Linked DNA regions of Yarrowia lipolytica. The protein of the gene in region 1 interacts with the protein of each later gene in a pairwise test. Links are inferred from orthologs where the notes say so. Each region holds a gene or a part of one and is shown in the gene's direction. Other genes may lie near its edges. The genes, in order: YALI1_D06195g, YALI1_B27399g, YALI1_A05031g and YALI1_D02316g.

Region 1 (9,943 bases):
ATCCGGTCCGTGCGCCACAAATGGCACTACGTCATCTTGCTTCTCTTTTCTTGGAAGCAGGTAACTGAGTCAGGGTCTTCTGGGCTGCGTAATCAACCTTGTGGAGGTGGCGAATGGAAACTGACTGCGGTCATTCACTGCTCCGCCTTGAAGTGGATCTTAAGCTGGAGTTAGTCACTGGGCGGTGTAGATGAAGGATTTGAACTGAGGATAAGTTTCCTTTTCAGTATCGAGTGGTCTGGTACCATTAGGGGTATTTGTCGTTTTTAGAGTCTCTTGCACCCGAACAGCAGCTTAGCTGGCGGAGACAGCATCAAGTCATTGTGACATGCAGGCATGACTGTGGTTAATGGAACGGAATAAAACATCAATAATGATACGAGAGTACTCTAGATACGGTACTGGGACACTTGGCCAAATCATTGTCATAATCCATCCACCTTGGACTCTACCGACGGCTCCAATGTCTTTTTTTTTCATGGACTGGGGCGTAATATTCGACACGACGAATAACCCAGAGTTCAAAACAAGTTTGTTTTTACAAGTGCACAGCCCATACACGTGCTTTTCAGTCTCCATGACTCCGAACCTCAGGGGTTATGACCTAGTTCGGCATGTCTTTGCTACACCTTGATTGTCTATAACTCATTGACCTTGAGCAGCCAACTCTGTCTAGAGACGGCCCAGTTGCTACTTGTAGGTTGACGGGTTGCGTGAGAGCTGAAGATCCATTAGCTCTCTGGGTTTAATTACAGCACAGCCCCGCGCGAAGATTTTTATCTCGACTTTGTCAATGATGGTTAATGGTAGTGTTTGGCCAAGTCAATACAATGGGCTTGGCTATGGACTTGGCGAGCACTGAGTTGAAGAGGCGCAGTTTCGAGGTGGAGAGCCGTATAGTAGTGATCCCTTGAACATATTAAAACGTGCACAAGTCTTTTAGCCGGCGAGAATGGCTCAACGTCCGGCCAGAGGTTGGAATCATAAAGTCTAGAAACACCAGACAGAGCCAATTTCGGGTGATCGCACGATCTCTCGTATTGCCCGAATCTAGTTTGTAACTGGGGGATAACACATATCAGCGAAAACTATTGGTTCGGATCCACTGGAATCGCACCATAGCTGCTTATCATCTATCTATGACGGACTAGCACATGCACCTGTGTCTCTGTTTGGTTTCATAACGTCCAGCCGTATCTTCTTGGCAATGCGGTCCCACGATGCCCACCATCTCCACCTGGGCAGTGCTCATGACTTTATTTTGCAGTTTTCCCCTCCAAACCCCAAGCCGTCGTCTGCCAGGGCTCTGTCGACGAGCTGGACAGAGTATAGATACCCTGAGGAAACCCCGGCCCGACGGCTTAGGCTTATCCTCGCTATCCATCTATACAGGCCAAGACTGTGAAACCTAGAGGTGCAGTTGCCGTGCACCGGGAATGGACTTTCGGGAGTGCCGATGTTGGCCAGCCTCATTGTGACTGTACGTACGTACGAATATCAAACACAAATGGTATCGAATCGCCGGCTTTCAGGGTCAGGTGGAGGACGTATTCCCTTCAGCAGTGTTACTTCACACTATTGCCCAGCTACTCTAAGTTTGGTGACTAGTGATGTGACTCAACAGCTCAAAGTATAGAGGCGACAAACAGTGTCACAATGAGGTGAGTTTTTCCCCATTCGGACGTAACAAGAATATTTTTTTCACACGTTTCAAGGAATTCTTTGGTTGAACTACGACGTACTTGTAACTGCGACGAGTACAAATGGAGAAAGTTTGACAATGCCGTAGCGGTAGCGTGAGCTCGAGTCGTTTTACTTCTTACTGTGAGATATGGTGTTTACACAGGATGTAGGAGATGCTATGTATATAGAGCACTTTGGAGAGAGGGCGAAGCACAGCAATGGAAGCAGTTTCAAGTTCGAAACCGATCCAGTATTCGCAACTCGGTCAATCAATAACCGACTTCAACTTCAACCCATGTTTTTACCCCCATCATCCCAGATGGCATCCACTACGGCGGGGGCTGAGCCTTCGTGAGAACGTGTCTCAACAGAGTTTTGTAGCTGTGTGCCAAGAGTGCACAGCCTGGTGGGTTCTTGGGGGATGAGAGTGAGCTGGACATGCACTTGCGGTCCTCCAGAACGGCAGTGAACAGATTTCATCACGTGAACACGTTTCAAGGGCGAAATCCGCAGTCCTCGCACAGCCGGTAGTCCACCTGACCGGCTTGCTCTGGAGCAGGAAACCTGGGGGGCTGTGCAACAAACTTTTGCTGGTTTGGGACAAGATTGGTGATACTCTGCAGCCCTGAAGCACAATTGCACACGCCATAGTGCGGCTTCAACACAGAGGTGTTAGTGGATACTGCACTGATAGAGATTAAGGAGTAGATTGAGAGGGAATTGGGCGACTATTATGACGATTACAAGTCGCAAAGACCTCAACCGGAGTCGACTACAGTCCTACACAACCACCTTTCAAGTCCGCCCTGCAACCCTAAATGCACTTTTAATTTTCACCTTGAAAGGTAATCAGCTGCCCTCTGATTTGCACGTCCACGGCAAACACGAGTCAAGAGGCGAGGCGCAGCAGGCATGTACGGGGTCCGACGACCAAGCAGGCACAGACCGTGAGCTGTGAACCCTTAGAGCTGAGGTTCGGCTACTGTTTGGCTTCATCAGGCCGTAGATAGACTTTGCACGGCGATTAGCTTGCTTGTTGCCTAGGGATAGAAAGAAAGACGGCGCCGAACTAAAGTCCAAACAAGCTCTTTATTTGATGCTTAGACCACACGCGCATGCTGCTGCTGCTGCCGGAACGGCGGGGCGGCGTTTGAACAAGAGACAGGCACACACATACGGAGAGACAGGAGGTTTCACTTTTTCCTTTTGCGTTTTCCCTCTTTGGACTTTTCGCAGCCTCTCTCCTTCTCTCAGATCCAATATATTCTTGACGGTGTCTGCTGTGTGATCCGAAATGCCAGACACGACCCAAGACCCCCCGACACATACAGATAGTACGCCACAAGGTACTCCAGGTGCAATAATGAACCCCCAGGCGCCCCCCGTGATATCCATCGACACCAGTGTGAGTGAGAGGCAGTGAAGGAATCACAGTGAATGGAGCGTGCACAGTGACGGTGTGGTGTCGTCTTGTGTTGTCAAGGCAGTGATATCACATCTTGTTATGATGATGATGTGGGGTGTGAAGACCCGCAGTTTCAAACTAACCCAGATTGTCGATGCAGACGAAAAACACCCCCCGGTTCTGATCGAACCAACCAATTCATACTCCCCCACGATCAAGGAGGAAACAGCCACACCCTCGACATGTAACGACTCGGATTTTTCGACACACGCAGAAGAAGCACAACAGCACCTCAATGAAGACGCAGACGGCACACTGGCCGGAGGATACAAATGGGCCCCCAAGCAGCTCAGCCACCTGATCGACCCCAAGTCGGTGTTTGTGCTGGCAGAGATGGGTGGTCTGGAGGGACTCGCCACTGATCTCAACACTAATCTTCAGTCGGGTCTGTCCGAGGAGGACGCTGGTGCCCGAGACGCACGAATCGAAGCATACGACCGCAACATTCTTCCCGAAAAGAAGGCAAAGTCGCTCTTCTACCTCATGTGGATGGCGCTCCAAGATAAGGTGCTTATTCTGTTGACAGTTGCTGCCATCATCTCGCTGGCTCTGGGTCTGTATGAGACCTTTGGCCAGCCCGCCGAGCACGACGCCCAGGGTCGAAAGCTGCCCAAGGTCGACTGGGTCGAGGGAGTTGCAATCATGGTCGCCATTATCATTGTGGTTGTGGTTGGAGCAGGTAACGATTGGCAGAAGGAATTGCGGTTCGTCAAACTCAACAAAAAAAAGGAAGATCGAATGATTCGTGTAATTAGAAGTGGAAAGACCCAGGAAGTGCCCATCGCCGATCTTCTGGTAGGTGATCTGGTACTTCTGGAGCCTGGAGATATGATCCCAGCAGACGGTATCCTTGTTTCGGGCCACAACATCAAGTGCGATGAGTCCTCTGCTACCGGTGAGACCGACACCATGAAGAAAATGTCTGGTTTCGACGCCATGACTGCTTACGAGAGCCGGGTCGACGGACTTACTCGAGGCAAGGTTGATCCCTTCATTCTGTCTGGTTCTAAGGTGCTTGAGGGTATTGGTACCTATGTTGTTACTGCAGTTGGACCCAACTCTTTGTTTGGAAAGACCCTGCTCTCTCTCAACATTGAGGACGAGGCCACTCCTCTGCAGGCAAAGCTCAACGACATTGCCGAGGGCATCGCCAAGGCCGGTGGTCTTGCTGCTCTGATTCTGTTCATTGTTCTTTTCATCCGATTCTGCGCCCGTCTCCCCGGCAACAAGGACACCCCTGCCGAAAAGGGTAACGAGTTTATGGACATTTTGATTACCGCTATCACCATTATTGTCGTGGCTGTTCCTGAGGGTCTGCCCCTGGCTGTGACTCTCGCCCTGGCCTTTGCTACCACTCGAATGCTCAAGGACAATAACCTTGTGCGAGAGCTGCGAGCATGTGAGACTATGGGTAATGCCACCACAGTGTGTTCTGACAAGACCGGAACTCTGACTGAGAACCGAATGACTGTCACCCGAGGAACTATTGGAGTCGAGGAGTTTGCGGTAGAGGAAATCACCCAGTTCTTCGAGACTCTTCCTGCCGAGGCCCGAGAGATTCTCTTTGAGTCCATCGTGTTTAACACCACCGCGTTTGAGACCGACCAGATTGCCGACACTGACGCCGAACGGTTTGTGGGATCCAAGACCGAGACCGCTCTCCTCAACTTCGCTCACCTCTACATGGGTCTTCAAAACCTTGCCAACCAGCGAGACGCTCGTGAGATTGTACAGATTGTGCCCTTTGACTCGTCTCGAAAGTGCATGGCTGTGATTCTCAAGATGAAGGGCTTTTACCGAATGTATATCAAGGGAGCCTCCGAGGTTCTGTCTGCCCAGTCTTCAATGATCTACAACAACAATGTCGTTTCTCCCATCACTAAAGAACAGCGACAGGACATTGACCAGAAGATTCTCCACTATGGCGAGCAGTCTCTTCGTGGCATTGCTCTTGCCTACCGAGACTTTGAGTGTTCTTCCTGGCCCCCTAAGGGCATGGCCTCTTCTGACGACTCTTCACAGGCCGAATTTGAACCTATGTTCTCCGACCTGACTCTCTTTGGTCTCATTGGTATCATGGATCCTCTTCGAGAGGGTGTCACCAAGGCTGTTGCCGACTGTCAGTCGGCCGGTGTCATTGTCCGAATGGTTACTGGAGATAACGTCAACACTGCCAAGGCCATTGCTCGAGAGTGTGGCATCTACTCTGAGGGCGGCCTGGTGATGGAAGGACCTGTCTTCCGACGACTTGCCGACCACGAGATGAAAGAGATGCTTCCCCAACTCCAGGTTCTTGCCCGATCTTCCCCTGAAGACAAGCGAATTCTCGTCAAAGCTCTCAAGGAGATGGGCGAGACCGTTGCTGTCACTGGTGATGGTACCAACGATGGTCCTGCCTTGAAGCTGGCCGACGTGGGTTTCTCCATGGGTATTGCAGGTACTGAGGTTGCCAAGGAGGCTTCGTCCATTATTCTGATGGACGACAACTTCTCCTCCATTGTCAAGGCTATCATGTGGGGCCGAACCGTCAACGACGCTGTGAAGAAGTTCCTGCAGTTCCAGTTGACCGTCAACGTTACTGCTGTCGTTCTGACCTTTGTTTCTGCCGTCGTCAACAAGCACGGAAAGTCTGTGCTGACAGCCGTTCAGCTTCTGTGGGTCAATCTGATTATGGACACTCTTGCCGCTCTTGCTTTGGCCACCGACCCTCCTTCTCCTGACGTGCTGGAGCGAAAGCCCGACCGAAAGTCACAGAACCTCATCACCGTGACCATGTGGAAGATGATTTTCGGCCAGGCCATTTTCCAGCTGGGCGTTACCTTTGTGCTATTCTTCGCCGGCAAGTACTTCTGGACCGTGGATACTCCCAGACAGCAAGACGAGCTGGACGCCACCGTGTTCAACACCTTCGTGTGGATGCAGTTTTTTAACCTCTTTGTCAACCGACGACTCGATAACAAGATGAACATGTTCTCAGGTATTCACCGAAACATCTTCTTCATTCTCATTGTGGTCATCATTGGCGGTTTCCAGGTCCTCATCATGTTTGTCGGAGGTGCTGCCTTTTCCATTGTGCACCTCAACGGCGGCCAGTGGGCCACTTCCCTCATTTGTGGTGTTATTTCTCTCCCCGCCGGTATGCTTCTACGTCTAATTCCGGACGCCTGGATCTCCGCCATGTACCCCCAGTTCCTGCACAACTGGATCTCCAAGTTGTGGCGAATCATGCGACCCAAGAACAAGGAGATTGTCGAGATTCACGTTCCCCGGGACGATGGCTTCCAGGGATCCGACTACAAGTGGCACTCCGGTATTGAGGAGGCCCGTGTGCAGCTCGAGTTCATGCGAGCTCTGCGAGGAGGCCGAATGTACCAAGTACCCAACCTGGTGCCTGTCAAGATCCGACAAATGTTCCAGCGATCTAGAGCCAACTCAGTGGCTTCCCTGTCCAAGAAGGAGCCCTCAGTCAGTACGACCACCGCTAGCCCTACCCAGACCGTCTTTGATGAGTCTGGACGAGACCGATGGACCGAAAACGACGGTCACCTGGCAGTTCCCGGAGCCCACTACGGTGGATCTGGTAACGGCAACAATGGTAACACTTCCCCCACCTCTCCCGGAGGTTCTTCTTCTCGGTCTTCATCTCGGGGCTCTTCCATTGGAGCCTTGGTCATGGTTCCCGCCATTGTGGGCGGAGCGGTTGCCGGATGGAACCCAGAGCTCAAGCCTCCCTCCAACTAATGTATTTATTGACTTATTGTATAGCATGCTAATGAATTATCTATTTGATTTGATGACATCGAAAGTAAATACTTTCACCACTTTGCCGAATTATTACTCCGCTGGGCCATTGGCTGTCCTAGAGGCGGCTGCGCCCGGGGTATACTCTGCTGTGGCCCACTCTATCACATCAGTAAGGGCTAAGTAAGGCCCGCCGTCTTAGGCACCCTACAAGTAGTGCTTGTCCCAGTTTTGGCGCCCATATCCACCCAGCTCTTGTAGAAGTAGTTGATGGCATGAATGGGCTGAACTCGGGCCTTGGAGCCGTCCTTTCGAGTGTTCAGTTCCTGCGCATTGTCAGCCATCTTCGTAGTGTCTCTTTGGGCCTGGAGAATGATGAGATCATTCATCACCGAGTCCCTGATATCCCTGTAGCAGATATAACTCGCTTGAAGGCTGGGATTCGGGGCACTGTGAGAAGGGCAGGATTCTCTTCGGTGGAGTTAACGGTTTCGTAAAAGTACACCATCCAGTCGGACATGGCTATGTCGAGCATCATTCGCTTGGCGTTGGCATGCACCGGCTGGGCCAGAGGGCCTCGTTTGTTCCCGCTTGCACTCAATTGTGATTAAATTAATGGTTTTGTGAGTACAAGTACAAGTGCTTGTAGGTTGACGATCATACAGAGATGTGTAACCGGTTATTAGCTATAATTACAAGTGCGCGTCTCGGTAAGACGTGGAACGCGTTTTGGCCTATATTTATTCTGTGAAGTGTAAAAAAACAGAATATATAAGGATAACGTCCCAATATTTCCCATCTTACACCTGCAACGCTTTTACCGCCCAAGCGTGCCCATTTTCGGCCGTTTCAACACCCTGCTCGTCGTCTCTCCTCTCCCTTTGCCCTGCGTTGAACGCGTGTGGGAGTCTAAATTTCATAAATGTGCACTCACACAGTAGAGTCAGTCTCAGGAAAAAAGGCTATGAAGAGGAAGCTTATTTCCGTTGCTTGGGAGACCGCGGTAACCGTAGCAACCCCAGGTTCTCAAATGGGCCGATCCCAAACTTGGGTTTTGTTTGAAGGCAATTTGACGTGACGCGGACAGTGAACAGTTGGCAGCCCAATCAGGTCGTTCATGAACTGACATTCAGAGTGAAAATGAAGGATTTTCTCCAATTGGAGAAGTGAGTATTTTCGTTTCTACCATAATACTGTAGTTGATTGGCGCATCTTTTTAGTTCAATCCCAGTACGAGTACAAGCTGCTCTCGCGCTCTAAAAGTATCACCGTAAATCATCTCGTGTATTAATATATAAATCATCTATATCATGGTGGCGGGGTGCCGTGCTCATCTAAAATAAATTAATTTGTTTACAAAAGAGCGGCCATGATGGCGGCAGCAGCAAGAACGCCGGCAGCGGGGGCGTTGGCAGCAGCGGAGTTTTGGCTGCCAGAAGAGCCAGAGGCAGTGGAAGAGGCAGAAGAGGCAGAACCAGAGGCAGAGCCGGAGGAGGAAGCAGAGCTGGAAGATCCGGAAGAGCCGGAAGAAGAGGAGTCGGACTTGTTGGAGTCAGGATCAGACTCTTTGGGGTCCTTGTTGCCAATGGTGTCGAGACCGGACTCGTGAGAGTCACCCTCCTGGGTGGACTGCTGAGACAGACCCTCGGGCTTGCCAGCACCGTTCTTCATGTAGTCCTTAGCTCGGGGAACAATGCCGGGAATGGGTCCATCACCCTCCCAGGTGTTGGATCGAGCAGGACAAGTGGAGGACTTGCCATCCTTCTTGTATCCACCGTCACCCTGGGGGTTGGCCTTGGCAAAGGCAGCCTTGATGATGTCGAACTCGCCGTTAAACTTGGAGACGGAGTCGCCGTCGATCTTGACAATACCGTAATCGTTGGACTCCTGAGAGTACTCGTAGACCAGACCACCAGAGAAGACGGGGGTCATCTTGTCGGAGTACAGGGTCTCAATCTCAGTGAAGGGCCGCTCGGGGTTTCCCTTGGCGTTGTGTCGGATCTCGTTGCAGCCAAACTCGGACAGGAAAATGGGGATGGAGTAGTTGCCGTAGGCCTTGACCTTGGCCTCGTAGTCGGACTCCTCGTAGGTGGAGTTTCCGCACCACGAGTAATCGTTCATACCGAGCATGTCAATTCGCTCCTCCTCGGGGCCACAGTTGAAGTATTGGGCCATCTCGTATCGGTTCTCAGAAACGTCAGCAGCGGAGTATCCAACGGGGATCTTTCGCTTGGCCTGGTTCTTGATGTACTCCTTCATGTCTCGGACGACGGCCTTGATGACGGGGGCGGTGTTGGTGTTGTTCTTGGCGTTGATGACCTCGTTGGCAGCAAAGAATCCAAGGGTGTTGGAGTAGTCCTTGAAGGTGTCGATGGTAGCGAACACGTGCTGCAGGTAGGCGGCGTTGTACGACTCGTAGGGCTTGGCTCGGTTGACGGAGATGAGGGGAGTGTTGACGTCGAGGATCAGGTAGATGCCAGCATCGTCGAGAGCCTTCATGCACTCGCTGTGGTCAGCGGAGTTGTCAACAGTGTAGATTCGCACGGCGTTGACACCGAGGTCCTTGAACCACTTAATGTCTCGGTTGCAAATCTTGGGGTCAGCCAGAGGGTCAACGACCTTGGAAGATCCACCGGGCTGGTAGTCGATACCCTTGATGTAGAATCGCTTGTCGCCCACGAAGAAGGCGTTGCCCTTGACCTCAACGGGGTCGAGAGCAGCAGAGGCAGAGGCGGCCAGAGCAGCAGCAACGGAGAGAGTGGAGAATTTCATAGTCGGAGCGTTGAAGCGTTACTTTGGAAGAAAGAGAGAAAAAGAGAGCAGCAGCTGGCGCCCACTATATATTTATACATGCACATGTACATGGTGCGGTTGGTAGGAGCTCTCCGTGCAACACACTTGTTTTGCCAAGACACCAACATTCCGATTTAATCTAAGTTTAGAGGCAGGGAGGCGGAGGGATTCTGCAAAGGAGGTCCTACGCGGATGGCAGAGGGCTTGATTGAGGACGGTGCGTGTGTATTTGGGGTCTCTTGAAGTCATGTGGTTGTCGGC
Region 2 (6,736 bases), on another chromosome or scaffold:
GGCCACCAGTGGAGTCACCCATAACATGAAGCGAATGGCTGAGGCCAAGCAAGGAGACGGCGGACGGCCCACCAAGAAGCCTGTAGTTGCGTGGGATGGACGTGCTGGATCTAGTGCTGCAGCCCAGGAGGAGGCTATGAGAAGGGCACCCAGCAAGGAGGAGCAGGCCAAGCAGAAGAAGGAGCGTCTGGCCAAGGAACGTGCCATTGGACCTGGACGATAAAAGGAGATACGGGTATAAGGATATAATTAGTCGGATATAAATCGCATTTGTATATTATTCTTATGAGACCATGTACTTGTAGGTCGATTTGCCTAAGGTATTAGTCGTTGAATAGCTTATCCAAGCACATACAGTACTCGCAGCTTCTACTGTAGCTACGTTGTAGGTATGAAGAGCCAAATGAAAAAACTCTTGCGAAAATTTTCGTCAATAGCCTGTTGTATAGCACGAAAAAAGGCACGTGTATCTTCGTTACCTATTCAAGAAGCTATAGGCGGCACGTAACCGAGTGTGAGCGGGCTGTGTAAGAATATCAGGGAGATAGTCCTGAGGTGGACTAATGAGTACAGTAGTTGTAGTCATTGGAGCAACAGATAGTATATTACGAATATATACGTGTACAAGTACAAGTACAAGTACAAGTACAGGTGTAGCCTCCCTTCACTATACGTAACCCACAGTCAGACATGACTCAATACCGTCAATGCCGGACTTATTTGTACCCGGAGATGAGGCTGGGAGGGGCGCTGCCTGACTCAGACCTCCCTCCACACCGTACACAGCCTGGCGTGATTGCCGTGTTTGTGTTACACGATGCCCTCCACAGTTAGTAGTACGAGGCGTAAACGCCACATTAACGCACAAGACGTGATACAACGTTGTTTGAGGCCACAAAGCTTGTCATGCGCAACACTCCCCATTCCGAAGGTGTATCCGCTCTCGTGCCTGTTGGTTAAGATTTGGGGGAGTGTTTGACGAGACCTGTTTTCATCCTGAATGATCATCTACCAGTATTCTACGAGTGATATCTGCCAAGACTTCGTCTGCAAGTTCTGTCTAACCTCCTCTTGGCATGCGTCGATAGGAGTATCACCATATGCACGATAGAGACCATGTGGGGGTGTCCGGGGAATCAAGGTTACCTTACCGAGGACCCCAAGATCCCGAAATTAAAGCCTATATTTATCGCGTATGTCTGAACCAAAGCCACCTTTCAATACCACCGTCCATACGGTTGTGCAAGCCACGATGAGTTATATTCGGGCTGGAGAGTGGCTTGACAGACAGTATATAATCTTGGGTGAGGTGTGTGCGACCGGATTATTCTCGCAATGCAGTTCAAAAACCCATTTGTCAAGGAAAAGGCTGTATCTGCGGCTTCCGTCGACTATGAGACGGCTGAGGTCTCTTCTACTGAAGGCCTGTCTGCAACAGAAGACGAAAAGTTCGACGGAGTCCTCGACGGATCTGGAGATCACAAGAACCCATTCACTGATCCAAATGTTGCTGAAAAGTTCCGACAGCTCTATGAGGACTCTCAATACGAAAGCAGACATGTGTTTGATCCCGATTTCGAGTGGACCAAGGACGAAGAGAAACGTGTCAAGAGAAAGATGGAGTGGAGGGTCGCTGGCTGGGCATGTATTATGTTCTGGGGACTGCAGATTGACCGAAACAACTTGGCTCAGGCTGTGTCTGATAATCTTCTAGAAGACCTGAAGCTGACCACCAACGAGTACAACTACGGAAACATGATCTTCTATCTGTCTTTCATGAGTGCTGAGATTCCGTCTCAGCTGGTTTCCAAACGTTTAGGTCCTGATCGGTGGATTCCAATCCAGATCTGTCTGTGGAGTGCGGTAGCCATGTGTCAAGGAGCCCTTCAGGGAAAATCTTCGTTCTATGCTACGCGAAGTCTCATTGGTCTCTTGGAGGGAGGATTCATTCCTGACCTGGTTCTTTGGTTGTCGTACTTTTACACCTCAAAAGAATTGTCCATCAGACTCTCCTTTTTCTGGACTGGTTTGTATCTCGTGAACGTTCTGACTTCGCTCTTGGCCTTTGGAATTTTGAGAATCCACTCTGGAGGTTTGGCTGGCTGGAGATGGCTGTTCATCATTGAAGGACTCATAACTCTGTGTATCGGACTAGCCTCTTTTTTCAGAATGCCAGCTTCGGCTGTCAGTACCAAGAAGTGGTTCAGACCAAACGGTTGGTTCACTGACCGAGAAGAGAAGATTGTGGTCAATCGAGTTCTACGAGACGACCCGTACAAGGGTGACTTTCATAACCGACAAGCAATTACCCCATTCACTCTCTACAAGTGTCTGTCTGACTTCTACATGTGGCCCATCTATGCCATTGGTCTTCTGGCATACATTGGAGACAGTCCCGAAGGAACCTACTTGACTCTAACTCTTCGACACCTGGGTTTTTCTCCCTTCAACACAAACTTGTTGACCATCCCAGTGAGTGTTCTTAAAATGATTCTTTTGTTGTCCTTCACTTGGCTGTCTGAAAAGATCAATGAGCGGTCCCTCGTCAGTATCATTCAACCCCTGTGGGTCATGGTATTGGTGATTGCTCTCCGTTTCTACCCTGAATCGGGTATTAATGTCTGGTGTACCTACACCATTCTAGTCCTTCTTCTTGGAGGGCCCTACATCCATGCTGTTGTTGTGGCATGGACTTCCAGAAACTCCAACACTGTGTCTCAAAGAACAGTGTCTGCCGCCATGTACAACATGTGCGTCCAAGCTGGAGGTGTTGCTGCCACACAGATCTATCGAAAGGATGATGCTCCATTCTACCACAGGGGAAACACCCAACTGATTATTATCAGTGGAGCAACAATCGCTTTGCTCATTGTGACGAAGATCTTCTATGTCACCATTAACAAACGAAGAGATCGAAAGTGGAGCGCCATGTCCAAAGAAGAGCGAGAGGAGTACGCTCAAAACTCGACAGACAAGGGAAGTCGGCGGTTGGATTTCAGATTTGCTCATTAAGCATGCATAACTTATAAAAATTGATGTGTTGTACAAGTACAAGTAATAGTTGTATCTCCGACGTGTAATGCTTAGTAGTCAAGAACAATCTCATTCACTTGAACAGGACGTTCTCGTTCCATAATTGCAACAGTTTCGACGAGATCATGCTGGTGGTAGACGTCGGCACAAATGATGACGACTGATTTCAATGCAAATTCCGTAACGTCTGTCAGTCGATCATATTTGGGGTTCTGTAGAATCTCCAGAGCTCGTTTACCCAGACTCCGTACTGACGCCTGCTCTGACGCGTCTAGAATGTCGGGCAGACACGACAACAGACCCATGAGCCATATACTGAGACCACGGCTGATTTTAGGTCCCAGCCATTTATGACAGTACTCCAAGAGCATGAACAATTGCTGGTGGGGCAACGATGCAATGAATTGTAGTGTTGGTTCGGGAGAAGAAGAGCCCGAAATGAACGTTTTCCATTTTGAAAATGTTGTCGGTAGCTCTGAATCAGCTGGTAGTTCAGGTCGTTCATCTCCATGCGATTGCACAGTTTTCCGTAACTCCATGAATGACTTTCTGATCTCCACTCTCCACTCGTTGATAACAGATAGTGGCATAACAAGAGACATCTCCGTGTATTTCTTCGAGTATGTTGAGGGTGTTGTGGCACGTCTCTGTCCTTTGACTGTCGTAAATGCTGGACTCTGGTTTGCTTCTCGTTTCACCTGGGCTAGATACTGAGCGACATCCATAGGGGGCCCTTCAAGGTCCAGGTCGGCCACTTGCTCGTCCAGCGGAAATGCCGATCGCTGGCCTGTATCTTCGTTCAACGGTCCTGCCGTGTACTCCTCCAGGTTTCGCTTCATCTGGTGTGTTCTGTTGTTATCGTGAGGCTCTCATCAAAAGATTCGTGAGCCTAACTCTGATGGGCTTTGAGCCGCATGGTTGTGTCAGTGGCGAGATACAACTACATTGTAGTGTGTTTTCTGTAGATTGAGCGTTCGATTTTGGCGACTTTGGAGAATTTTTTTCACATTTCGCTACTACATGGTCTCTACACACAAAAATATAGACTTCCTAAAACATTGACATATACCATACAATATTCCAGATGAAGCCTTGGGCTGTATCATGACATCACCCGCTGTGGGAATACCCGAACCCTAATTATGGAGTTTAGTTCGCCACCATCGTCAAGCAAGCCCTATATATCACCATACCAACGCCTTGCTTAAACCGCAAACCCACTCAACTATATACACCTGTGACGTCTTCTAAACGACACAGATATACAAGCACAAGTTACAACCCCTGAGTAACAGCCCAGGTCCGCCTCTAAACCCCCATCGCACACATCCACACACATCACCATGAGCTGCACCGACCTTCTTCTTGTCATTGTGGCGGTTTTCTTCCCCCCAATTCCAGTTGCCATTCGACGAGGTGTCTGTTCCGCAGATTTCTTCATCAATGTGGCTTTGTGCTGCCTCGGTTTCCTGCCCGGCCTGATTCATGCCTTTTACATCATCTCGAAATATCCCGGTGACGAGCATGGATGTCGGCATGGCGGCTACGCTCCTGTCAACGGCTCCGAGCAGACCTTCTACGGCTCTTCTGATCTCGAACGAGCCGGTCCTTCCAGCAGCCACCAGCAGCAGCCCCAGCACCAAGCTCCTCCTTCCGGGGAGTACTACACTTCTCTGGACAACAAGAAGGACAACACCAACCGCCCTCCTCCTTACTCTGGGTAAGTGGGTATCTTTATAAGTAAGTTAACGTGACATTTCTACAGCACCAGCACCCATTCTCGTATGACAATTATTGTGTAGTAGGCAGACATCGTATTCGCTTATGAATAGAACCACCCTCTCTCTCTATAAGTATATAACGCTGCGCAATCTTGCATGGACTGCGGTGTTTATGTACCCCTTTCCCTTTTGCCACTTGCGGTCATTAAGTGAGTAGCGTACCTATCCAACCGTTATTGAGGGTTGTAATCGGCCCTTTTATTAACGAATAAGACACTTGTATACGTCCTTTAAACGCTCTTCTACAGCCCTGGGTATGTGCGCACACGAACCATCTTTCAATACGGGAAGGAGAAAAACTCCATCGTAATACGTGATGCAGGCCCCGCAGACAAACGCAACTACGATATCTGGGGTGTGGAGATATCATAGGCCTCCCCTTGTTCCCTTGTGCTCCGATCCCATTGATATTATCAAATACACACTATAACAGCCTCAGAAATACACTAGCAGCAGTACATGTCATCCAACATGCCTTGGGTCGGACATGTCGGATCTGCAGGCCAGCTCGTGTCTCGCTATATGATAATCCGCGCCTTTTACCGAAACGAAAATCGCGATCAGAACAGGAGACCACACGGACACGGCCCGTGCCCAACCGTAGCATAGCCAAAGTTTCAAGGTGACCCTGGCGGCAGCCAGCGCAGCGCTGGGTTGTGATGATGCAATCTACAGCAACTCAGAATGGCACTAAAACTCCAACACGGTGTCATGTCCCCTATACCACTCGGAGAAAGGGAGATAGTCCAGCGGGAGCGCCGTCCGTCGTAGTGGGATCACCAGGGTACTTTTGGGTGTTTTTTGGCTGTTTCTTTGGCTTTCAAGACTCGATTTTGCAGTCTCATAACGTATCTTATATCGTTCCTGTTGACAAGGCTAAATAAATAATCCCACATGGAGGAACCAGCAGCCAATAAATTCAGTATATACCCCCGCTTGACGGCAAACAAGACTATGCAGGCTACGGTCTGAAGTTTAGCAGAGCGCTATTGTAGGCCCGCATTAGTCCCCCGCTAGTGCCTTAGCTGAATTATTCCATCCTTGGAACCCAAATGACCGTGACAAGCTACGACACTTGTACCTACGACATGAGACACCAGGAACAGATACAATATCCATAATTCGAAATATAGGAAGAGAACATCTCGTTTTCATATTATACAAATAAATAAGGACTAGCCCGAAAATGAGCTTGGCATTGACAACCGAGATTAAATAAAAGCCTCTGTTATTTGTTGTTCCAAGACGGAAGACAAAGAAGTGAGCCTGTCCATCCTAGAAACAAATGCATTGAACCGCATCGTCGCAATCCACTAAGGCCCATACGAAAGCATCGATCCGTGGGTTGATGAATTGTGATCCATCTTTAGCGAATGATGATCCACATGGCCTGACGGACCCGGGTTGCTGTACTGATACATATCTCCCATATCCGGAATCTGCTGCTCCGGAGGTGGAGGCAGATCAGAGTGATGTAGATCTCCAGAATGCTGCGGTTGTTGTGGTTGTTGATGTTGATGGTGTTGTTGTGGTTGTTGCTGCTGATGCTGATGCTGATGCTGCTGCTGCTGTTGATGCTGCTGCTGTTGATGCTGCTGCTGTTGATGCTGCTGCTGTTGCTGCTGTTGCTGTTGCTGCTGTTGTTGGTGAAGAATATGTTGTTGGATATGTGGATCCTGGTTGTCGGAGAGTCCCAGTTGACTGTGGTTGGACTGCCGTCGCTCTGGTGGGGACTGTAGCATCTGGTCTTGTGTAAGCTGCTGTTGGTCCAGTTGGTCGAGTTGCTGTTGTTGAGACACTTGAGGGATGGGCTGTTGGGGCTGCTGTTGTTGTTGCTGTTGCAACAGATCAAGCATGGGGCCGTCATAGTGTTGTTGGTGTCCTTCTTGGGAAGGCCCGGGTCCCAGTTCGGAGTGAGCAGG
Region 3 (7,503 bases), on another chromosome or scaffold:
TCTCGGAACCGCTCTAGGGACCGCATACGGGCCTTCTGGATCATGTTGGAGTGCAGCTGCACAGCGGGGAGCTCGAGGTTCTGCAACATGGGAGTGAGACGCTTGACAGAGTCGATGGAGTTGACAAAAATGATGGATTTGCCGGGGTAGGTCAGCAGGAAGTAGTATAGGTATTGGTCCTTCTCCATGGCGCCACACTCGACGATACTCTCCAGAACCTGTCGAGCGACAACTTCGGCAGGGTTGGCGTCCACAAAAGTAGGATGGAACTGTCGGAACTTCATCTTGGACACGAGGAATCGGATGGTTTCCTGATCGGTGGCCAGACCTGTTCTTTGCTTTCGCTTCTTGTCCAGCTTGAACATGAGCGACTTCTGGAAGGTGGCTGAAAACACACATGTCTGTCGTTTGGCCACCTTTCCTCGTCCAATGAGATCCAGGGCCTTGTCAAGATCCTCATAGTGTCCATCCTGAAGCATTCGATCGGCTTCGTCCATTACCACAGTCTTGGTTCGCTTAAACACATCAACCATGCCGTCGGTATCGGTGATGAACTCGTGGAATCGACCTGGGGTGGCGACAACGATGGCAGGGTTCCATTTCATGAGACGTCGCTGCTTCATGATAGACAGTCCACCGGTCAGAGCCATGACTCGCGGTCCAGAAATAGGACAGAACTGAGACACGGCATTCAAATGGTCGGTGATCTGATGAGCAAGCTCTCGGGTGGGGGCAAAAACAATGGCCTGAGGAGGCTTAACAGAAGACATGTCTCTCTCCACCTTTTCGGTCTCTTCGTCCATCTCCACCTCGTTTTCTCGGTCTTCTCGCTCCTTGTCAAGCACAGGAAGGTCAGCAGGTCGGTCGGAAATATCAAAGCGGGGCTCGGGAGCCTCATCGTACATATCGAATCGCTCTTCCTCTTCCTCGTCGTCCTTCTTTTCTTCCTGTCCGGTCATCTTGGTCACCTTCTTAGGTCTGGGTTTGGTAGTACACTTCTCAGGGACCTCCTCCTCGACCTCCTCCTTCTTGTCTGACTTCTCAGCCTCCAAAAATCGATGCAAAATCGGCAGACCGTACGCCAGCGTCTTACCACTACCGGTACTGGCCTTTCCAATCACGTCATCACCCGCCAGAATGGGTGGGATCGACTTCTTCTGAATTTCTGTAGGAGACTTGTAGCCAAGAGCATACAGGCCCTGGATGAGGGAGTAGTTAAGCTGCTCGCCGTTGAGAGTCCAGTCAGGGAGATGAATGTCGTCGGGCACACTATTGAGGGCCTCAAATGCGTTTCCCTCGGCCTTTTTCTTGCTGTTCTGTTTAGGTTGAGTCTTGGCAACCTCCTTGCCGTCCTTTCCGTCCTTGGCAACCTTGGCCTTCTTCTTGGCTGGCTCAGAGGCATCCCCAGACTTATCCTTCTTAACTTCGGCCTTCTTGGTCTCTTTCTTAGAGTTCTTCTTCTCAGGCTTCTCCCCTACAACAAAAGTAGGAAGGCCGTTGTTGACCACAATATCAACACCGTCCAGCTCTTCAAGTCCGTAGAAACCCTCAAAGTCCATCTTCTTGTCGCCTAGCTCAACCTTCTTCCAGTTCATTTTGTTAATGTCGAGAGGCTTTGTTCCGGGTGCAGGAAGATCGATGGTTTCCCCACCGTCTGAAAACTCGGCATCTGACCAGTTGTCCATTTCTGCGTCAGATTCGGGTAAAACAGCAGCCTTGACCTTAGTCTTGACAGTATCCTTTGTCTTAGTGTCCTTTTTCACATCCTTGTCCTCCTTCTTGGCAGCCTTGTTAACTTCCTTCGCAGGCACAGAGACCTCAGCCTCTTCACCTTTAGTGGCTTGTGCGAAACCCTCAATGGCGCTGTTAGTTTTAGCATCAGCCTTCTTGACATCCTTTTGGGTATCCTTCTTGCCAGCCTTCTGGACATCCTTCTTGACACTCTTCTTGACATCCTTCTGGACATCCTTCTGGACATCCTTCTTGACGTCCTTCTGGACATCCTTCTTGACGTCCTTCTCGGCCTTGCCACCCTTGTCTTCCTTCTCCTCTTCATCATCGTCAAACTTGGCGAAATCCTTCAACTTGTTTTCGTCTTCGCTCTCGCTGGCACTCAGATCAGCAGCAGAAACAATGTCCATGGCTGCCACAGTCGTACCCTTGGCCGCTTTCGCTTTTCGAGGCTCCACAAAGCCGTTTTTGATTTTTCGAAACACCTTCTTGCCGCCAGCAGGCTTGCCCCCACCAGGAGGCTTTCCACCTGGCTTGCCAGGCTTGCCGCCCTTTTTCGCATTCTGTTTGATAGCCATGGTGTGAGTGTGTACGGAAATATTCAGCCTGGAAAAATAATTTTTAAACGTGCATTGAGATGCATGGAGGTTAGGGCTAGATGGTGAGCAGAATAGGGAGAACCAAACCACGTCGTAGGATGCGTAGGAAGAGTCCCAGGGGAATGATAGAGGATATGGTGTGGTTTGGAATGGTCTCTTTATGACAATTTGTCTTGTTCATATTGCCTTAGTTAGATCAATGAGTTCTCTGAGAGATCCCTCCGTTAATAAAAAACATAACAAATAAGTGCGCTTGATTCCAACTAATCTTAACTAATTGTCTGAGTGTGGCATTCCCAATCGGTTCTGCTGGATCGAGTGGGTGTGTACAAATGAATGGAAAAGATGGTCCCAATTCGTTCTGTTCATTCAGTTCTACAATCTGAACACTTTCTTTGTCATTTCAGGCTTGAAATTCCCCTAGTATTTCTGAAATATATGTTAAAAAATTATAACTTGCGGTATCACAGAACACCCTTTCCTAACAAACATTCAACTAAAGAGGATTAGCCTTGACACAACGACTGTCTTTTATGCACTACAGTTTTCAACGTATGACACTCCAAACGGCCCTGAAACTACACGGCACTGACGAACAAGCTCTTCCCCTCTTATCAGATGACGTTATCTGATCGGTGCGCCGTGTCTCATTCGGCTGCGCCACTGTGGCTTGTGGTTCCTTGGTGAGTGCTTGTAGCTCCGCTCGGACTCCGAGTGCATGTTGCTAACGAACTCGACAAAAGAAAGGAAAAAAAAAGAATGCACAAGTGACAGCCTGACCAGAACAGTCGTAGGCATACAGCCACGTGCCAACCACGTGAACTCACGTGGATTCGCATTCACAAACAAGGTCTTTCGGGTTTATAGTCTTTTACCTCCTTGCAACTAACTACAAAATACAACCCTGTTGAGAAGACGATCTGGACTAAACAGACCCACCGTAGTTGCACTCAAAGTGGCTAACGGGGACGCAGATAGTATGCAGTTGAGGGTGGAAAGTCTTGGCCGCACGTGACTAATGCGGATAAAAAGGAAAGGAGAAACCCCGAGCGCCGTTCTAAACCATTGTCGCGCATGTTTAGTGTATGTTCTGTTGCAAGAGTGCAGGGTATTGCTGTAAACTTTGGCAATGCCTAGTTCTAGTCTGTGTCTGTTTTGACGGGGTACAATGGCAATATTTATATATAGAAATGGTCAGCGAGGGACAGCAGATGTACTGAAATTTCTGGCGGCCCAATCGGAGCTCAATTGGGCAAGTTGTGTGAGTTCTGTTGTCGGAGATGAACATTCCACTTTATAACGGAACTCAGGTGCAAGGTAGATTCGCTCCGAATCAGTTTCGGTGGAGTTCTAGTTGCTTAATAAGAGTCCAATGTGGGAGAAAAACATACCGTTTTTGATTGGCTCGTTCTGAGGAGTCGTTCTATGCCACTTGTGCTTTGATCGGACTGCGCCAAACTTCTCTAAATTGATTCCTCCATACACTTCCAATTAGCCGCAACGTGACGATGCTTCCCTTTTGCCTTTTTGTTAATGAGCCGTGCTAGTCAAGGGTTATGGGTGTGTGGGGTGGCGGAGTGATGGGATGGCGAAATAACAGGGTACCAGGAACCCAAGACGGAACCCTGGACATCATGTGACGGGCACAAACTTCTCACGTGACTGTGAGGAATTTTCGCCTTTTACTTCCCGGTTTGCGACGATTCTGGGAGCTGTTGCCACCGTTTTGTTGTTTCCTCCGTTACGGTTATACGCAGAAAAATAGGCTCCGGATAATTAGGTTGTGCAGTTATCAGATGGAGCAACATCAGATAAGAGAGGCGTTTAAAGAGCTATAGGGACGGCCAAATTGAACGGGAGATGTTTTGAATCTATTTATTGTCGCGTTAGTAGTGGGATGATCTGTTTTTTGCGTTCAAATTCCGCCCCTATAACCCCCGATTGCCCCTTGATAAATGTCCACCACCACGCCGCCCAACTCTAACCCCTACGGAGCTTATTTTGAAAAGTCGCTTTTAATTACCAGACTCACTCTTTCCAGGTTGTACTCCACAACACAACATGGTCAACTACGCGGACTTTTTCGAGAATTATTTCTCGGTTCAGGTCTTCTTCATCATCTTCCGAGAGACCATTGAGACGGCGATTATCATCTCCGTGCTTCTGGCGTTCCTCAACCAGGGTCTGGGCGATAATGTGTCCCAGAAGGACTTGCAAGTGTATCGACGGCTTGTTACCCAGGTATGGCTGGGTGGAATCTTCGGTCTGCTCATCTGTCTGGCCGTGGGAGGTGCGTTCATTGCCACCTTTTACATCTACGGACACGATCTGTGGGGCATGACTGAGAACGTGTGGGAGGGCGTCTTCTCCATTGTCTCGTCCATCATTATCACCATCATGGGAGCCGCCATGCTGCGAATCAACAAGATGCGAGAAAAGTGGCGACACAAGATTGCCAAGATTCTGGTCGAGACCCACGAGGGCCACGGCGGCTGGGGCCTCAAGTACCTGTCTCGAAAGTACGCTCTGGCCATCCTACCGTTTGTGACCACCCTTCGAGAGGGAATGGAGGCCGTGGTTTTCCTCGGCGGTATCGGTGTCAACCAGCCTTTCTCTGCTTTCCCCCTTCCCGTCATCACCGCCATTGCCCTTGGTGCTTTCATTGGTTACGCCATGTACAAGTATGGCAACGCCATCTCCATCAACTACTTCCTCATTGGCTCCACGTGCTTCCTGTACCTGGTGGCCGCCGGTCTTTTCTCCCGTGGAGTGTGGTTCCTGGAGCTGCAGCAGTTCGTTAACAGAGTTGGTATGGACGTATCTGAGACCGGCTCTGGACCCGGCTCCTACGACATCACCAAGTCCGTGTGGCACGTCAACTGCTGCAACGGTCAGACCGATGGAGGATGGATGATTGCCAACGCGCTGTTTGGATGGACCAACTCGGCCACCTACGGCTCTGTCATCTCCTACAACTTTTACTGGATCTTCATCATTGTGGCCGTCTACGTGTCTTTGGTCAAGGAGAAGACTGGCTACAACCCCCTGTACCCTCGAGCGTGGCAGTCCAAGAAGTTTACTCGACTTCCTCAGAACGACGACGAGGACCGACTCTTCCAGCGAGCCTCGGCTGTTTACTCCGCTGATATGAACGTTGAGGGCCAGGGCACTAACAAGAGCTCCCAGTACGGCACCAACAGCATGCCCAACTCGGCCAACACCGCGGCCGAGAACCGAGAGTCTGTGGACTCTGACGCTCCTCTTCTTGCCAGCACTTCTTAAGTGGGATCAAGGACTCGACCATGCTGAATGCAGACATGACCAACCACTGGTACTTTTTTATATTTTGAGTACTTGTGACACAACACCGAACTCCGGTGCATGATAAATATGAACATATGATATATACACACCCCTGATGAGTACTCCTCAGTCTGTAGACAGCAACCTTACAGTTAGAATACCATCGCCGTTGCATGAGCAAATATCTAATCGACCTAAAGGTTGAGATAACGCAGACAGATAATGTAGGTATCTGAGACGGTTGAGCAATTATTGAGCAGATATGAAGAACGCAGGCACATGAGCGTAGATCGTGAGTGCTTATGGTTTCAACATGTCTGGTAGAGGTCTATTCAATGAGTGTACAGGTAGCTACGGGCAACATACCTGGCATGCGACTCGGGGCACGACCGGGGCACGACCATCAAACATGGGAAGAGCTCCATGTTGGATAAATCCGCTTGTCGAAATCCGCTTGCAGATAGTGTTTTAAATCTAGATACAGCCTTGTCGGTTGTTCTTTGGCGGGTCCGGGTTCGAGTCAGTGGGTGTACTTGTAGAAAGTGAGTAAACTGAATAGTTCTCGCGAATGGTCTGAAACTCATCGAAGTGTAGGGTAGATCTACCATCTGTGTATGCTGGCGTCTCTTCCAACTTCTAGGAAGATCGAGTTCCATGCTCAATCAAGCTGTTGTTTTTTCAGACCGAATAACTACTATGAATGTTTCGATATCAGTATTAAAACATACCCAACTATGTAGCAACCAACTACAAGTACATACGATACTTGCACCTGTAGATAACCTCAGCTAGCTGGTAAGCTTTCATGCTGCCCGTGTGAACATGTCTACAGTACCGTTTGCCATAGCACAGTTTGTCTCCAAGATTCTCAACAGCCCTGGACTCTTGGCTAGCTTCTCCCCCACTCTAAAATAGTCATCATTCATCAATTATATGCAGTTAGTTGTGCGCGGTACTGAGGGGGGACGCCATACTATGCTGTTATCATTCGACCTACAAAGAAGCAGGGAAGGTAACAGTGGTAAGAAGACAGGTGATGAGATCGTCATCAACGGTGTAGGCTCGGGCGACGGCAACGTACTTTCCGGGAGGAATCTCGTTGGGCAGCTCAATTTGCTTGTTGAGCTTGAGGTCGCCGGCCTTAATGGGGCAGGACCAGTCGACCTGTTCGGACTGCTCGCACAGGTCCAGAGTCTGGCTGATGAGCCGGATGTAGCCGTATCGCACCTCGACCTCGATGTAGGCGCCCTCCTCAACGTCCTCGTAGAGGTATCCGGACGCCTCGATGGTGAGGTTCTGGCCCTTGGCCGGGGGGTTGGGGTCGATGGACAGGTGTTTGATTTCCAGCAGCTGCTCGTATTCGGCGTCGCACAGCGAGATGGGCGAGTCTCCGGGGATGTCTTCGTCGTCCAGGGTCTTTGCAATGTCCTTGAGTCCTCCCTGGGCAACCGACATGCCGAAGTCCTTGGCCTGGTTCATGAGCTTCATGGAGTTTGCATCGGGCGCGGGCGAGGCGACCACGGCCGTGGCGAGGGCGATCAAAGGCAGAATGGACAGTTTCATGGTGTGGAGTGTGATGTGATGTGTTGTTGTGGAGGAGGAGAAAAAGAGGCTCATCAGCAATGTTAGCACGTCGAATATGCAGCGGTGGCGTTAATCTAACTTTATTAGCGGGGAGAGGTGGGGGTTCTAATGGCGGGAAAACATTTTGTATTAAATCACAAAAATTTCCCATAAATTGAGAGCGATGTTTTCGTTCATATTTTAATTTTTATATATTTTTAAAAAAGTTATAAACTCCTCCTTTTGGCCAATGAATCCCCCTCATGCAACCTCGTCCTAAAGTTCCTCCATCTGATATCAGCCGAGA
Region 4 (7,393 bases), about 390 kb from region 1:
CGTCCCGCACGCAGTTTGGAACAGCCAACCAGGCTGACCCCAGCTTCGCCAGCTTTGCCATTGACGGCATTATGGGCCTTTCGGCTGTCGACAAGAGCGAATCCAACTTCCCATCCCTCATTTCCGTCCTCAAGGACCAGGGCCAGATCGATCAGCGGGTCTTTGGTGTGTCTCTGGGACGAACTGCTGACAATACCGACGGAGCGCTTGTTCTGGGCGACTACGATCACGCTGCTGTCGACGGAGACATTTCCTGGGCAGATGTGCAGTCTGGAACAGCTCTCTGGAAGGTCTCTGTAGATGGAGCGTATGTAGGAGGTAATCAGGTTGATTTCGGCGCCTCACGAAACGCCATTGTCGACACTGGAACCACTCTGCTCGTCATGCCCCCCGAGGACGCTATGAAGTTCCATGGATACATTCCTAACTCGCAGACTGATGGCAAGAATTACGCTATCCCCTGTGATTCGACCGTTTCCATCGAGATTGAGGTTGCCGGAACCAAATGGGCCATCTCGCCCAAGGATTACATTGGTTTCAAGTATACAGACGGCTCCGGACTGTGTGCTTCCAATGTTCAGGGTCTCAAGACTGGCAACGATGGCCAGCAGTGGATCCTGGGCGCTGTATTCATGAAGAACGTGTACACGGTCTTTGATATGGACAAGAAGCGAGTTGGGTTCGCCAATAAAAAGGAGACCGATGTGAACTCCAAGTGCAACGACTTTGTCAAGCAGTACCAGAGTGACCATAAGGAGGCTGCCAAGGGGGCTAGCAGTAGCGAGTCATCTAGTGCCTCGTCCACTTCCGAGTCTTCTAGTTCCACTTCCGAGTCTACTTCAGCTACCTCCACAGAATCTGCTTCTTCGGCCGAGTCCTCTTCAGCCACTTCCACCGAATTCTCCTCTTCTTCTGAGTCTTCTTCTGCTTCCAGCTCTGAAACCTCCTCCAAGGCTTCCAGCACTAGCTCTTCCGAGTCTAGCTCTTCTGAGAGCAGCTCCAAGGCTTCTACCACATCTGAGTCGAGTTCCAAGTCTTCGGAAAGCTCCGCTTCTTCTCCCTCTAGCACAGAAGCCATTCCTTCTGCCTCGGGCCTCATCGCCAACGGTGGCTCTTACAACACTACCCTCAGCAGTAGTGTTGCTTCTGGGGGTTCGGGAAGCTCTTCTAGAGGTTCGACCGAGGCTTCTTCTACCTCAGATGCTTCTTCGGCATCGTCATCTGATGCCTCTTCCCCTGCTTCTGCAGAGTCAGCTGCTGCTTCAGCTGCTCCTACACCTTCCGCTAACAAAAATGGCGGCGCTTCGCTGCTGGTCAGCCTTCCCCTGGCCCTCCTCCCCTTCATCCTTCATTGCATGTAACCGTAGTAAGGGTTACCTCAGCACTTGCATAATATTTAACAAAATGAATCCTTTGATGATTAGATCTGAGTACATACTGTACTTGTATGTAGTAGAGTAATTTTAGGCCCAATTATCGATTAAACTGCAGATATGAAATTTGCTCGTACATTTGCAGAAAAAAAAAGATCTTGTGTGATACTAGAACTGAGTCCGAACAGTTGAACCCACAGGACACTTGGATCAGGATCTAACTCCTGCTACAGAAATTTTATAGCAAAAATAATGACACCATAAAATTCCCCGTAGTTACATTTACATACAAAAGTGTCCTTGTTTTCGGTCCAAAGCGACTCTGTTGGATTCCAACCAAGTTGTCCGACTATCATCACATTTCAGGTCTGTACGGTGTTTTGATTTTTCCCAGAGTCAAAACAGTGTGAGACAAGCAGCACTGAGACACCGGGAATGATTGAGTTTGAGGAAGAGGGGAGGATATAATTAGAAAAACACAACAGAAAAGCAAGTCTTCTCTGTGTGTATTCAGGTCACGTAGCCATTACGTTACTTTTCGTCTCAAATGTCCGCCCATTAGATGACTCGTTCGTGTGCAGTATGTACTGTACTGGCACAGTAGATACCAGTTTGGTCTCGCTGATTGGCTACGCGCAACTTTATTCCACGCACGGCTTCACGTGGGATCTAAAAACAAAGACCGCACGTGAGCGGAAGTGGGTGCGGAAACGGTGCATGAATGGAGGAGGCAGTGGCTACGTTAGGCCATTCTAGAACCGACTAAAGCCGTATTACGTCGTCGGTGTAATGAGATTGCCGCCTCGAATACTCGGCTAACAACGGCTACCTCTTCAGATAGCTGTATATGCCGATTATCCAACTCTGATGGACCTCCAATTAGGTTGCTTGGGCGCCGATCAGAGTTAGATGATGGACTGTATGATAAGAGCGTCCCTGTATCGTCTCGAAACAGTGCGACAACCTCGTTGGTAGGTATATATGTTTAAGACGTGTTGCATAGCAGCCTTCCGACCTGCTACATCTCTTAGCCCTCTATAACACTTGGCATATAGAGTGTCGTACATGCCGTACAGTTATGTAGTGTGATTTAAAAGACCCTGTGTTATCGGTGCCAATTACAACGCTTTGATACTGCACTGTAGCGAGGTAAACGCCATATCAGGGTGTGTTTAAAAAATATACAACATGGGTAAATCAGAAGTAGAATCGGAAAGCAAGACAGAGAGGGTGGAGTATTCAACCCAGAGTGGGAGATCAGAAATACCAAGAACAAATAAATCGCCGCCAGCATGTAGCCATTAACTTGACACCTGCCACTCGACCGTTCCTGACTACAAGTAGCTCCTCGGACGTTCCGGTTACCCCTCTTGACTTGACGTTTTGTAGTCGGAATGCTATATCCGCCCTACTCTACGTAACAGTACATACATAACCACGCCTACAAGTAGTCAGGGAGCCCACGGACGATCCTACTATGAATAAAACGGCTCTAGACGATACTAAACGGGTCTACACAATATTTAACGGGTCTAGACGATATTTCCTCCGTCAAATATTGGTCTTTGCTCCCCCAGTCTCTCTCCGTCTGGTCTATTTCTGGACTAAGCGGTTCGCGCCTTGTCACTGTAATTCCCTTCGCAACTCCCACATGACTCTACACCCAGGTTGCGCCAAAGCGCCCCCACAGAGTCTATGTTGAGTGACATAATAAGCGAGCCGCGAAAGAGAGTGAGTAAAAGTAGACATTTGGCGGTTTGGAGACAATAAATAGAAGCGAAAAAAAAAAACAACACCACCAACAACGACCAAGAGCAAGGTGTGTAACACACCGACCTCGGAGCAACTCCGTCCGCCCGCTAACTCCACCCTCTCCCCCAATGTTGTGCTGATGCACCATCCCACATACCACTCAAACTCTATCTACCCTTATCTCCTGGGCTTATCAGCTGCCGTTCACATGTATATAGAAGAGAGGGGGGACGGACATACCTGGTAAACGATACTTCATACAAGATAGAGCACTGAAGACGTTCTAGACGACAACAACAGCGATAGAGAAGATATCAACAGCGATTAAGACGACATCAGTACAGCCACAGCCACAACTACAGCCACAACCACAGCCACTGTCGACCCATACCTGCCACACCATACAGTCATAACACGGCCACAGTCTTAGCCACACCCATCAAAGACACATTTCGAAACCCACACACCTTCTCAACATGCGCGAAGAAGCTCTCAAACTCATCTCCCAGGGACTCACCCAGCTGTGTATAGTCATCTGGGTGGTGGCTCTGGCATACCAGTGCTACGCCAACTTCCGAAACAAAAGAGTGGACGGATTTTCGTTTGGATTCCTTCTCTGCTGGATTGGAGGAGACACGTTTGCATTGTGGGGTGCTCTGCTGACCCACCAGCTGCCGTTCCAAATCTTTCTCGCCACATACTACTGCGGCATTGACGCGATTCTCCTCTCGCAGTACTTTTACTACGAGACTCTGGGCTATGGAGCTCACAAAATGGAGAGCACGGGCCCCGAAGTGACCGAAATCGAGGTCCTGGACGGCTACACAAACACTCCTATCGAGTTGGAGCGCAAGGGCAAAGCTCCTATCGAAATCCGAACCAAGAAAGCCACACCTGGCGGTCTTTCGGTCACACCCTCCCCAAACTACTACAGCATTTCGGCCTCGTCCTCGTCCGTGCCCAAGTTCATTCCCGGAAGCGTCACCAAGGCGTTTCTGGCAGCCTCCTTTGGAGCCTCTAGAGCCGCAGCTGCTCCCATTGTCATGAAGGGGGTTAAGACGGTTGTAGACAACACAGATGCCCACATGTCCACGGCAGCCATTCCTCTCCTCTCAGCTCTCACTCTCGGCATCTTTGTGTCCTACACATCCTCTCTTCTCTACACAGTGTCGCGAATCCCCCAGGTGTACAAGAACTACAAGCGGCAGAGCACTGAGAACATGGGTCTGGCCATGTTCATTGCTGCCTGCTGTGGAAACGCCACCTACTCTATGTCCATCTTTGCCATTGGATTGACGCTGGAGGAGTCAGTGAGACGGGCCTTCTTCATCAAAGAAGCTCCGTTTGTCGGAGCTGCCAGCATAACTGTGCTGTTCGACTTTGTCATTTTCTGGCAGCGATGGAAGTATGGAGAGGGAAGAAAGGCGGAGACGCTGCCGCTATTGGCCTAGACAGCCTTTAGAGGCTGGTACAAGTTTTCGAACAGTCCTAGAGTACACAGTACATGTGCAAGACCTGTTACAATGTGCACTTGTACGGCCCGTTCTTGCCCTCTTGAACGGGTATGAGCATAGACATAGCATTATTTATTTATGAGATTAACGATACAAGAATTGTAGGTACAGGTTGTAAAGCGACACAAAGCAGCATAATCAACACAAAGGCAACATAATCACTACTGTACTTGAACAAAAACAATACAAAAACAGCAATACTTCCTTGGATCGCTTCTCGTGACTCCAGGTTGTAAAACTGTCTACTGCATGCTGTACCCCTCTCCCCTCTTTGGCTTGTTTATGACACCCTTGTCCAACTGACCCTGTCTCACATGTCATTCTCGCTTGGATTGTCTTGAATAGGAAAATATTCCCTGGCTGGTGTGGGTGGACCGGGGTTGGTGAATGTGAAGATCAGTATTATAATACGTAGAATTTCTGAGCAAGAGTTTTAGATACAGTATTTTGTATTGTACAGCACGAGTGATACATCCGTGGGAACGGCTGAAAATGAACTTGGTGGACAACTCGAGGAATAGTAGAGATGATGGGAAACAACAACGGGGAAGAAGAAGGTATAAATAGTATCTCTATATGGTTTTACTTTGGAACTAGTATTTGGAAAGTCGGTTGAGTGAGGTGCTTTCTCATGGGTGTAGGTAGTGGGTTGATGACACCGGAGCAGTTAGGTGGAACGTTGTCGTATATCATGCTATCGGAAGAGGGGCTCTTTTAGTGAGTAATCCAAGGTGTCTTTCGTATGGAAACGGATCAGCAGAAGAATCATTAGGTATCCGTCTATGAGGATGTTTTTGGTGTTTCTTCCAAGCTTATCGGATATTCCTAAATGATACCAAGTAATTGGTCAACAAAAGGTCACTGTAATACAAGAGAAAATACTCCAATACTCCTACATGGTACTGTAATCACAGTACAAGTACATACTACAGGGATTATGTACATGATGTGGGATGTTGCCAGTGCTGCCCAAGGAAACCGAGGCTCCAGGATTATGACATAGCTACCCCATGGTTCCTGTCGCCAGTAACATATGACCAGACCCTTCACAGCCGTGATCGACCCTGGGTATTGTTGACGTACGGCTGCTCATTAGTACTACTTCTTCCTCTTCTTCGACTTTTGCTGACTACCACTTCCCCTCCTCCACAAAGCCTCAACATCCAACCTATACCTCTCGAGCTCACTAGCCGGATCTACCGACGACAGAGCATCTCCCACCTTCTCCAATAACCCCCCATTACCCAAAATAGGACCCAGCTTCGACATGATGTGGTAAATGCCAATGCACCAGCCCGATTCTTCATCGGTGGCAGTTGCCCAGGCCAGGGTCACGAGGTAATCTTGTAGGGAATCAAAATCCTCGGGAGAAATGGACTCAAAAAGATTGAAAGAAACAAGGTAACCCTTGCCTATAATTTCTTTTGTGGCGGTTCGTCGCATTGCCACCCAATGGGCTTGATGTCGTCGAATGTCAATGTTGCGTTTGTACAAGTTTGGACCCATATATCTGGAAGCGATACCCCACAACTGGCTCATACTGTACTGGGTAGGGGTGTCCATGACCAGAGTAGTAAGCACATGCTCAATGGCTGAAAGCAGCTTGATGACAGACAGTAAGTCGTGGGGATCGTCCAAAGAAGCCACTGTCGCAGCCAGATCTCGTTCAAGTAGCGTTCTTTCTGTGTCTGTTATTCGAGGACCATTGTGAGGCACTGCCATGAGATACTGAGTGTTGTCATCGAGCAGTTTTTGGAGCTGGGTTGCTGCAAAGCTCCCGCTTGATCGGTCGTAGCTGGATATTTCACATTTCGGTGGCTGCTTGCTGTATCCCGTTGCCAATGGCGCTGTGAACGGGTTTTCTGGTTTGTCAATGTTCATGTTTGGAGTGATGAAGGTTGAGTTGAAGATTGGGTTTGAGAGTGGCCGAGTACAGTGATTGGAATCGGTTCTTGAGCGTGATCAAAAAAGATTGTTGGTTTTTCAGGGAAACAAAAACGGTCCCAGAAATTAATCGCGCCATCATCTGTCCCTCTTATTCTGGCTTTTTTCTCTCCAGTCTCGCACCATTTCGGCGACACGCATGCCTCCTGCACTGCACTGTACATGCAGAACTATTTGTATTCTCCTCAGACAAGATCACCAAAGTAATCGTCACCATGTCCTTCAGAGGAGTTCCAGTATCATCTGCAGAGGCAAAACAGCGCCAAGAGCGAGATCTCGCCAAGTTGCGCGTGCCGAAAATCTACAGAGAGGCGGTGGACATGACCAAGGTGAACCGGCCGATCATCAACCGGTGGATCACTACGAAGCTGAATGAGCTGCTGCCAGACGACGACATTATCACTGATTACACCCTGGAACTGTTGGGTGGAGACAAGCCAGATATTCGGGAGATCCAGCTGAATCTGAACGGGTTTCTGGAGGAGAACACAGCCAAGTTCTGCAAGGAGCTGTGGGAGCTGCTGGTGGCTGCCCAGAAAGACAAGGACGGCATTCCGCCGCAGTTGATTGCCATCAAGAAGGAGCAGATGGAGCAGGAGCGGGTGAAGCGGGAAATCAAGATTGAGAGTTGGAGTGGTGGGGGCGGTGGTGGAAGAGACAGAGGTGATAGAAGGGAAAGAAACGACAGAAGAGACGCAAAAGGAAGAAACAGAAGAGATGGAGATAGGAGGAATGGCGATCGAAGAGACAGAGACAGAGATAGAGATAGAGACGACAGGTCAAGTCGTTCAAGTCGGTACAACCGATCAA

Evidence for each region.
Region 2: the proteins of YALI1_D06195g (region 1) and YALI1_B27399g interact in a protein complementation assay, tested with the Saccharomyces cerevisiae proteins (2 studies listed by BioGRID). The link is inferred for Yarrowia lipolytica from reciprocal best matches to the Saccharomyces cerevisiae genes PMC1 and SNA4.
Region 3: the proteins of YALI1_D06195g (region 1) and YALI1_A05031g interact in binary tests that used the Saccharomyces cerevisiae proteins (3 or more experiments, as listed by UniProt). The link is inferred for Yarrowia lipolytica from reciprocal best matches to the Saccharomyces cerevisiae genes PMC1 and FTH1.
Region 4: the proteins of YALI1_D06195g (region 1) and YALI1_D02316g interact in a protein complementation assay, tested with the Saccharomyces cerevisiae proteins (2 studies listed by BioGRID). The link is inferred for Yarrowia lipolytica from reciprocal best matches to the Saccharomyces cerevisiae genes PMC1 and YPQ2.

Annotation. Positions count from the first base shown.
Region 1 is NC_090773.1:612,830-622,772, reverse strand, and holds YALI1_D06195g (uncharacterized protein), read left to right. Parts: upstream 1-2,977; coding exon 2,978-3,088; intron 3,089-3,235; coding exon 3,236-6,889; downstream 6,890-9,943. Other genes in the region: YALI1_D06152g (uncharacterized protein), read right to left, coding at 7,069-7,254, 7,314-7,451, 7,527-7,550; YALI1_D06131g (uncharacterized protein), read right to left, coding at 8,243-9,661. UniProt on the Saccharomyces cerevisiae protein: This magnesium-dependent enzyme catalyzes the hydrolysis of ATP coupled with the transport of calcium. Transports the calcium to the vacuole and participates in the control of the cytosolic free calcium.
Region 2 is NC_090771.1:2,737,524-2,744,259, reverse strand, and holds YALI1_B27399g (uncharacterized protein), read left to right. Parts: upstream 1-4,376; coding exon 4,377-4,757; downstream 4,758-6,736. Other genes in the region: YALI1_B27454g (uncharacterized protein), read left to right, coding at 1-223; YALI1_B27429g (uncharacterized protein), read left to right, coding at 1,336-3,012; YALI1_B27404g (uncharacterized protein), read right to left, coding at 3,084-3,872; YALI1_B27360g (uncharacterized protein), read right to left, coding at 6,128-6,736.
Region 3 is NC_090770.1:500,082-507,584, reverse strand, and holds YALI1_A05031g (uncharacterized protein), read left to right. Parts: upstream 1-4,391; coding exon 4,392-5,612; downstream 5,613-7,503. Other genes in the region: YALI1_A05052g (uncharacterized protein), read right to left, coding at 1-2,309; YALI1_A05003g (uncharacterized protein), read right to left, coding at 6,627-7,250. UniProt on the Saccharomyces cerevisiae protein: High affinity iron transporter probably involved in transport of intravacuolar stores of iron.
Region 4 is NC_090773.1:228,030-235,422, forward strand, and holds YALI1_D02316g (uncharacterized protein), read left to right. Parts: upstream 1-3,601; coding exon 3,602-4,576; downstream 4,577-7,393. Other genes in the region: YALI1_D02275g (uncharacterized protein), read left to right, coding at 1-1,361; YALI1_D02345g (uncharacterized protein), read right to left, coding at 5,738-6,520; YALI1_D02348g (uncharacterized protein), read left to right, coding at 6,799-7,393. UniProt on the Saccharomyces cerevisiae protein: Amino acid transporter that moves arginine across the vacuolar membrane. Active during nitrogen starvation when it exports stored vacuolar arginine to the cytosol, for use as a nitrogen source.